2 linked regions of the Anolis sagrei genome follow. The protein of the gene in region 1 purifies or fractionates together with the protein of each later gene. This does not show direct contact. Links are inferred from orthologs where the notes say so. Each region holds a gene or a part of one and is shown on either strand. Other genes may lie near its edges.

Region 1 (3,922 bases):
TCGTTCAGTTGTTTCTGACTCCTTGTGACCCCATGGACCAGCCCACTCCAGAGCTCCCTGTTGGCTGTCACCACACGGCTCTTTCAAGGTCAAGGCAGTCACTGCTCTTGGTCAGCCCCTCTTCCTTTTTCCTTCCATTTTCCCCAGCTTTTCTGTCTTCTCATTATGTGGCCAAAGTACTTCATCTTTGTCTCTAATATCTTTCCCACCAGTCAGCAGTTGGGCTTTATTTCCTGGAGGATGGACTGGTTTGATCTTTTCGCGGTCCAAGGCACTCTCAGAATTTTTCTTCAGCACCACAGTTCAAAAGCATCTATCTTCCTTTGCTCAGCTTTCCTTATGGTCCAGCTCTCACATCCATAGGTTACTACAGGGAATACCATTGCATTAACTGTGGATCTTAGTTGCCAATGTGATGTCTCTACTCTTTAATTATTTTATTGAGATTGGTCATTGCTCTCCTCCCAAGAAGTAAATGTCTTCTGTTTTCCTGGCTGCAGTCTGCGTCTGCAGTAATCTTTGCGCCTAAAAATATGAAATCAGTCACGGCCTCCACGTTGTCTCCCTCTATTTGCCAGTTATCAATCATCTTGGTTTTTTTTTTAATGTTTAACTGTAACCCAGCTTTTGCACTTTGTCCTTTCACCTTGGTTAGGAGGCTCCTCAGCTCCTCCTCGCTTTCAGCCATCAAAGTGGTATCATCTGCATATCTAAGGTTAATGTTTCTTCCAGCCATTTTAACTCCAGCCTTGGATTTGTCAAGGCCCACATGTCGCATGATGTGTTCTGCATACAAGTTGAATAGGTTGGGTGAGAGTAACCACACAACTCTGAAGTAGACAATGAAGGCTTTGAGGTGGTCAAAGGCCCCATCCACACTGCCATATAACGCAGTTTGAAAGACTTTCTGCGCGCAAGCATTATTTGATTTGCAATCAAAAATGTGCCAGGATTAGGATAGCTATGACGGTCCCTTCCACACAGCCAGAATATCAGGGCAGATGGCCCACAAGATCTGCTTTGAACTGGGTTATTTGAGTCCACACTGCCAGATAATCCAGTCCAATGTGGATGTCATACAGCTCAGTGGAAGGGGCAGAAGGAGGAGGTGGACAGGATCCTCAAGCGCAAAGGTACAACCCAGCAGGCGACGTGAAGGCACACAACACACCCCCAAGATAGCAGCACACGTTTCAAACGCCAGAAGAGACACATGAGGCACCTGTCGCGTTCTTTCAAACAAACCAAAATGACTGCCGCGGTATTCGGAAGCAACAGAGCTGAGTTTCCCTCTACAAGTTACTTATATCTATGTTTCCGCCTGCCGGCCGGGTCTCCACTTCCGGGCGCTTCAACAAGTTCTTCCGGTCCGCTCCCCCCTCCCGTTTGCGCCTTCTGCTTCCCGGGACGGTCGTTTTCGGGGTGAGACGGAGTCCTCCTCTTTCCCGGCTTTGGCCGGCTTCGCTGCTGCTGCTTCTTCTTCCGAAGGAGAGGCTCCCTCCCTCCCTCCCCTTTCCGCCTCGGTCTCTCTAGGAAGGCCCAGGGCGAAGAAAGGGCGCCTGGACCCGGGTATTTGCCTTCACTTGTGCCCGCCTTCCTTCCTTCCTTCCTTTCTCCCAGGGCAGGACTCAAGGCGGCCTGCAGCACGTTAAAGCCAATTCACCCCGAGTTTGGACTTCTTTCTGAGAGAATATGTGGCCCAGACACTTGTAAATATATACATTGCGTTCATGTGACCCAGGCTTGGGCCAACTTGGGCCCTCCAGGGGTTTTGGACTTCAACTCCCACCATTCCTAACCGCCTCAGGCCCTTTCCTTTTCCCCCTCAGCCGCTTAAGCGAAAGGAAAGGGCCTGAGGCGGTTAGGAATGGTGGGAATTGAAGTCCAAAACCCCTGGAGGGCCCAAGTTGGCTCAGGCCTGATATAATCCTTTTCTGACTGCTTACCTTGAGGAGGAATTAACCATTGCCCATAAGAATACTGAAATTAAGTATTTTTAGTATAGAAATAATGGATTCTCTACCCTCAGAGTTAAAACAGTCAGCAAAAAGGAGGGGTAGATCTTTTTAAAACATAGGCGTGTCTCATTACATGTGGGAAAATTATTTAAAAAATGAAAGTATATCCATACAGCAGAACTAATTTGGTTTCATGCTAATACATAAAGTAGGATATAAATCATCATCTGTTAGAATGGGAGGTATTTGTATAAGTTGGATCCCCCTCCCTCTTCCCCGTTTTTTTCCTTTTCTGTAGGTGTTTAGATTGTGTGTCTTTTTCCCTGTCCTGCTTATAAGCAAGTGAACACACAGAGCTGCCTTAAACTCTGAGAGTTACTATGTAAAATGATTTGAGAGTCTGAAAGATCTTCTTAGTTCTACCTGAACATGGGATCTTTAGTGTGCAAAGCTTGTTCTTTGATATTGAACTATGGGTCATCCTGGAAAGAAAAAAACAAACTTCAAATTATTGTCGAAGGCTTTCATGGCCAGAATCACTGGGTTGTTGTAGGTTTTTTCGGGCTCTATGGCCATGTTCTAGAGGCATTCTCTCCTGACATTTCGCCTGCATCAATGGCAAGCATCCTACCTCAAAGGATGCTTTCCATAGATGCAGGCGAAATGTCAGGAGAGAATGCCTCTAGAACATGGCCATAGAGCCCGAAAAAACCAACAACAATCCAAACTTCAAATTTTTCTCTCTAAATAACTAAAATATACTGGGGCTCTAATCAGTATGTTGTCAAAATTTTCCTAAAGTAAGCAGCACTTTTGTTTTTGAATGTTTAGTTTTTGCATATGTCAACACACCTTGTTTTATTTTATTTATATCCCACATTTCTCCTTATGCAGGACTAAAGGCTACTAGGCTAAATATTTACTTCATCCACCTCAAAATTAAAGGTACTGTATTCCTTATAGCTTAATCCTGTTGTGGCTGTATGAGGAATTGAGAACTCTGCATTGTGGAAGCGTGAGCTCAGATGAATGAAGACACTATTTCTTCTGTAATGAGACCTTCATCCAATTTACATTAGCCTGAAGAAAACTTTATTAGTTGTTCAGGCAATCCAAATACTGTTATTGATGGAATAACTTTACCTGGTGGCTTGGAAATGCAAACAGTTTCAGCCATGCCTCTATTTTGCATCTTATTATGTGATGTCTTGAGCTTCCCATCTGGAGTCATATTGTCAGAAGATTTAATTAAAGCTCTCAAATAAAGTTTTAAGTAGTTGTCTGCATTTGGTGTCCTGCAGTTGTAATATATTAAGTGGTTTGCTGTTAAAGGATAGTGTACATATATTACCTTCGAGCTGACATGAAAATCCTTCTGTAGTTTGATCATGATTTTACACATAAAATCATGCTCAAACTACAGAAGGATTTTCATGTCAGCTCGAAGGTAATATATGAACACTATCCTTTAACAGCAAACCACTTAATATATTACAACTGCAGGACACCAAATGCAGACATCTTTCTCTGGATTCTTGCTTAAGAGCTTTGTGGTGACCACAGATTTCCTCATGAGCAGATGGATTATGGAAACCATAATTTTACTAAATGTAGAATGCTTTTCTCAGTCATACTTCTTTTACATTTCTTTGGTAAAAGCCTTTACCAGGAGTAAGTCCCCTTTACATGTTGTGAAGAATATTTCTTAGGAGACATGTTGCAATCTGAAACATCTTCCAAATCTATGTAGACCGTTAAAGCTATGTTCTACTTGATCTTAATAGCAGTTGTGCACATTTTTGTTGGGAAGTGAACCCATTATGTTTATTATTATTATTAACATTTACAAAACTAAAAAAAAAAACAAAATTACATCAACATATGAGCGAGTGGGATAAAGGGGATGGGGCGGGGGTGAAAGATGTGTGTGTGTAAAAATGGAATAAATAAATAATAATGAAAAA
Region 2 (3,922 bases), on another chromosome or scaffold:
AAGGTATTTATATTTTACGTTCTATTTTATCTTTTTATATTTATTTTTATATTTTATTTTATTTATTTTTATCCTTGTATTATATGTATTGTTTCTATTTATTTTATATTGCATCCTTTGATTATATTTTATTTATATTATTTTATATTATATTTCTATTTTATGTTCTATTTTATCCTTGTATTATATGTATTTATTTTATATTGTATCATTGATTATATTTTTATTTATATTATTTTATATTATATTTCTATTTTATGTTCAATTTTATCCTTGTATTATATTTCATTTATATTATTTTATATTATATTTTTATTTTATGTTCTATTTTATCCTTGTATTATATTTTTATTTATATTATTTATGGTATATTTCTATTTTATGTTCTAATTTATCCTTGTATTATATTTTTATTTATATTATTTATAGTATATTTCTATTTTATGTTCTATTTTATCCTTGTATTATATTTTTATTTATATTATTTATGGTATATTTCTATTTTATGTTCTAATTTATCCTTGTATTATATTTTTATTTATATTATTTATAGTATATTTCTATTTTATGTTCTATTTTATCCTTGTATTATATTTTTATTTATATTATTTATAGTATATTTCTATTTTATGTTCTAATTTATCCTTGTATTATATTTTTATTTATATTATTTATAGTATATTTCTATTTTATGTTCTATTTTATCCTTGTATTATATTTTTATTTATATTATTTATAGTATATTTCTATTTTATGTTCTATTTTATCCTTGTATTATATTTTTATTTATATTATATTTTATATAATGAAACAACCAAAGAGACATGATTGTCTGTCTAGCTGCCATCACCAAAACACTGCTCCACTTCCTTCCTCTCCTTTTGGAATGCCAAGTAAATCTGACTCTTCCTTGGCCCCGCCTCCTTTTGCCTCCGTCTCCACAGCAACGCTTGGCCCCGCCCTCCCCCTCGCGCGCTTGCCCCCCTCTCCTTAGCAACAGCTTGACCCTCCTCGCGTCCCGTAGCAGGCCTGCTTCCGCTTCCGCTGTTCAGAGAAGTTTGAGCATTTCCGGCGGCGGGTTGTGAGTGAGCAGAATGGTAAGTGAGAAGGGTGCCGCGGGCGAAGAGAGCGGATTGTGGGAGTTGTGTTGTGGTGGGCGTCCCTGAGGGAAGCGGGTGCCCTGAGGAGGGCGGAGAGCTGCTCCTTAGGCTCAGTCCTTGGTTCGTCCGTCCCCTTCGCAGTGTTGTGCCTTGTCATCGTCCCTCATCTTTCGTCTAGACCAGGCCTGGGCAAACTTGGGCCCTCGAGGTGTTTTGGACTTCAACTCCCACAATTCCTAACAGCCTCAGGCCCCTTCCTTTCAGTGAAAAGAAGAGGCCTGAGGCTGTTAGGAATTGTGGGAGTTGAAGTCCAAAACCCCTCGAGGGCCCAAGTTTGCCCAGGCCTGATCTATAACTGTAGAATTAATACTGCTGAATCCTGGGAGCTGTAGCTTGATCGATAACAGCCCTCTTTGGCTGAGAAGGCTAAAGACCATGTAAAACTACAACTTCTGTGATTCCATAGCATTCAGCCATGGTAGTTAAAGTAATGCCAAATTGTATTAATTCTACAGTGTAAAGGCAGCCAAAAGTGGAGTGACTCTGTGTAGAACAGACCTTAGCAAACTTAGGCCCTCCTGGTGTTTTGGACTTCAACTCCCACAATTCCTAGCAGCTTACATTTGATGATGCCTCCTGTAGCAAATGGTCTGGATGTCTCTTGGCCAGACTTCCCCACTGTCCCAGAAATGGGCATATTATTAAGGAATCCAAAGGTTTTTTCTTCTTTTTCCTCATGCGGGGTCAGTCAACATCAGTGTGTGCTCAAAAGAACAAATTATATTAATAGGGAAAATCACAAAAGGCAAGTGAATCGACAGCAGTTACTTTTTGTGAGTCTGCAAAGGCATAGTGGGACTGATAGCCTCATGACACCAGAGTAGGCATGGGCAAACGGGCAAAAATATGATAGCTGGGACCCTACACTGGTTGCACAATGCATGTCAGAATTAATGAAGGGAAGTCCGCTTGAACTTTTCTCAGCTGCTAGAGCTGCTTTCCTCAAAGGGCGGAAAGTGTGCTGGTAGCCAGGGAAGGTTTTTACAAGGGCCAAGTGCAAACAGAGCAGCAGGAACCAGAGTCCTCTTCCCCTCTTCTTGTGCTTTCCCCTGCCAGCTTTTTGACAGTGGAGGAGTGGGGACTCCAGGAGGCAGGATGTGTAAGCCATAGACCCCCCTCCCCCCTCCCCCTCCCCCTCTCCCTCTCCCCCTCTCCCTCTCCCTTCCTTCCTTCCTCCCAGCTGCATCTCTCACTCACTGCACTGTCTCATACATATCTTCCCTTCATGAATTCTGACCCACAGTGTGCAACCAGCGTAGGGTCCCAGCTATCATATTTTTGCTGGCAAACTTTGACTCTCCAGGTATTTTGGACATCAACTCCCACCGGCTGTTAGGAACTGTGGGAGTTAAAGTCAAAAACACCTGCAGTTTCCCCTTTTTGTGAGGAGTACAGCTGAAGCATTTTCTGCAGAGGCCACTATCAACAGTGCACATTGTTACTAACAGATTTGTGTAAATGGGTGGTTCAGAAACCTTTTGCTGTTGACACATTTTTCGTGACCCCAATTTTGAGTTAAGGGGACCCTGTTTGGGGCCGGGACCCAGTGTAGTATCCACCTTGTATCTACAATAAGGGGAAAGGACATTAGCAGGCATTACCAGCTACCTTGATATATTGCAAAAAAATAAAATACTTGCCACTGAAATGAAAATTATAATGAAAGGAGATTGTTGAAAGAAAACAATCTTCTCTGGGTACATTTTGGAAAGAACTATCGAGTGGTCTCCAGAGAATTCAAAATGTCTTTGTTTGTTTTCAGTTTACCTGTGCATAATTTAAGTTTTGAATAAAAAAAGTTTGCTTGAAACTTGTTGAACAGCTGTTCTTTTCTTTGTAGTGAGAAACCTAGCTCTATTTTTTTCCAGGACATTTTTTTTCCATTGGTACCAAAGTTTCTGTTTGAGAGGTAAAGCCCAGGAATACATCCACTTTGTTAATTGACATATACCTGTATAGATGTTATTTCAACTGCACTAAGGGAAACAATTGTTTTTCAGCTGTATATTATATTCTGCTTGTTTTTTTTTCCCATTAGGGTCAAAGTCAGAGTGGTGGACATGGCCCTGGGGGTAGCAAGAAGGATGACAAAGTAAGAATAAAGAAATAAGGGATTTTGTGTGGATGAGGTGTATAATGGACTTTCTTGAAATAAGTGCAGCATTAAATGTTCTTCTAGAAAAAATATTCCATGCAAATTGAAAAATTCAAATTGCACTTTCTCAGACATACTTTCACTTTCTACATAAGAAACTTTGTATCTCATTTATATGTTATTTCTGTCTCAGACTGGCAATGCAGTAGTCTAGTTTTCTAAGTCTTCTAAGTATTGTATTAGTTGCTTTTAGGTAATGTGTCACTTTGGACATTATTGTAAACTCTGATTTGTAACCAGGAATTACCCACATCTCTTTCTCATTTAACATGACTTTAAGGAAGAGATCAGATGGGGTTTTTCAATAAATGTATCTTGCCCTTTAATATGGCCATAACAAATTGTGACTGCTCCACTTGAAGTCCTTTCTGTACTGTTACCTCTTCCTTAAAAAACTGTAATTCATCATGAAATCCCTCTCAACAGATCTAAAACATCTGTTGCTTAATTTTGTGATGGTTGTTGGAGCCAGTTATTATTTGGACCATGTGAATGTTTTTTATCGAATTAGGAAGTTTTTGTGAAATAGAAGCACAGATTACTTCCCCAGATTCGCTAATCTTCATTATAAAGTAGGATGAGACAGCAGCTTGGAGGGAATGCTCAG

What was found.
Region 2: the proteins of UBLCP1 (region 1) and PSMC1 purify together in Homo sapiens (affinity purification with mass spectrometry; 3 studies listed by BioGRID and IntAct, with this or other methods). This does not show direct contact. The link is inferred for Anolis sagrei from reciprocal best matches to the Homo sapiens genes UBLCP1 and PSMC1.

What each region holds. Positions count from the first base shown.
Region 1 is NC_090022.1:79,050,140-79,054,061, reverse strand, and holds the start of UBLCP1 (ubiquitin-like domain-containing CTD phosphatase 1), read left to right. Parts: upstream 1-1,320; 5' UTR 1,321-1,422; intron 1,423-1,439; exon of another isoform or gene 1,440-1,569; intron 1,570-2,852; 5' UTR 2,853-2,903; intron 2,904-3,922. UniProt on the Homo sapiens protein: Dephosphorylates 26S nuclear proteasomes, thereby decreasing their proteolytic activity. Recruited to the 19S regulatory particle of the 26S proteasome through its interaction with 19S component PSMD2/RPN1.
Region 2 is NC_090021.1:314,839,623-314,843,544, forward strand, and holds the start of PSMC1 (26S proteasome regulatory subunit 4), read left to right. Parts: upstream 1-991; 5' UTR 992-1,094; coding exon 1,095-1,097; intron 1,098-3,198; coding exon 3,199-3,252; intron 3,253-3,922.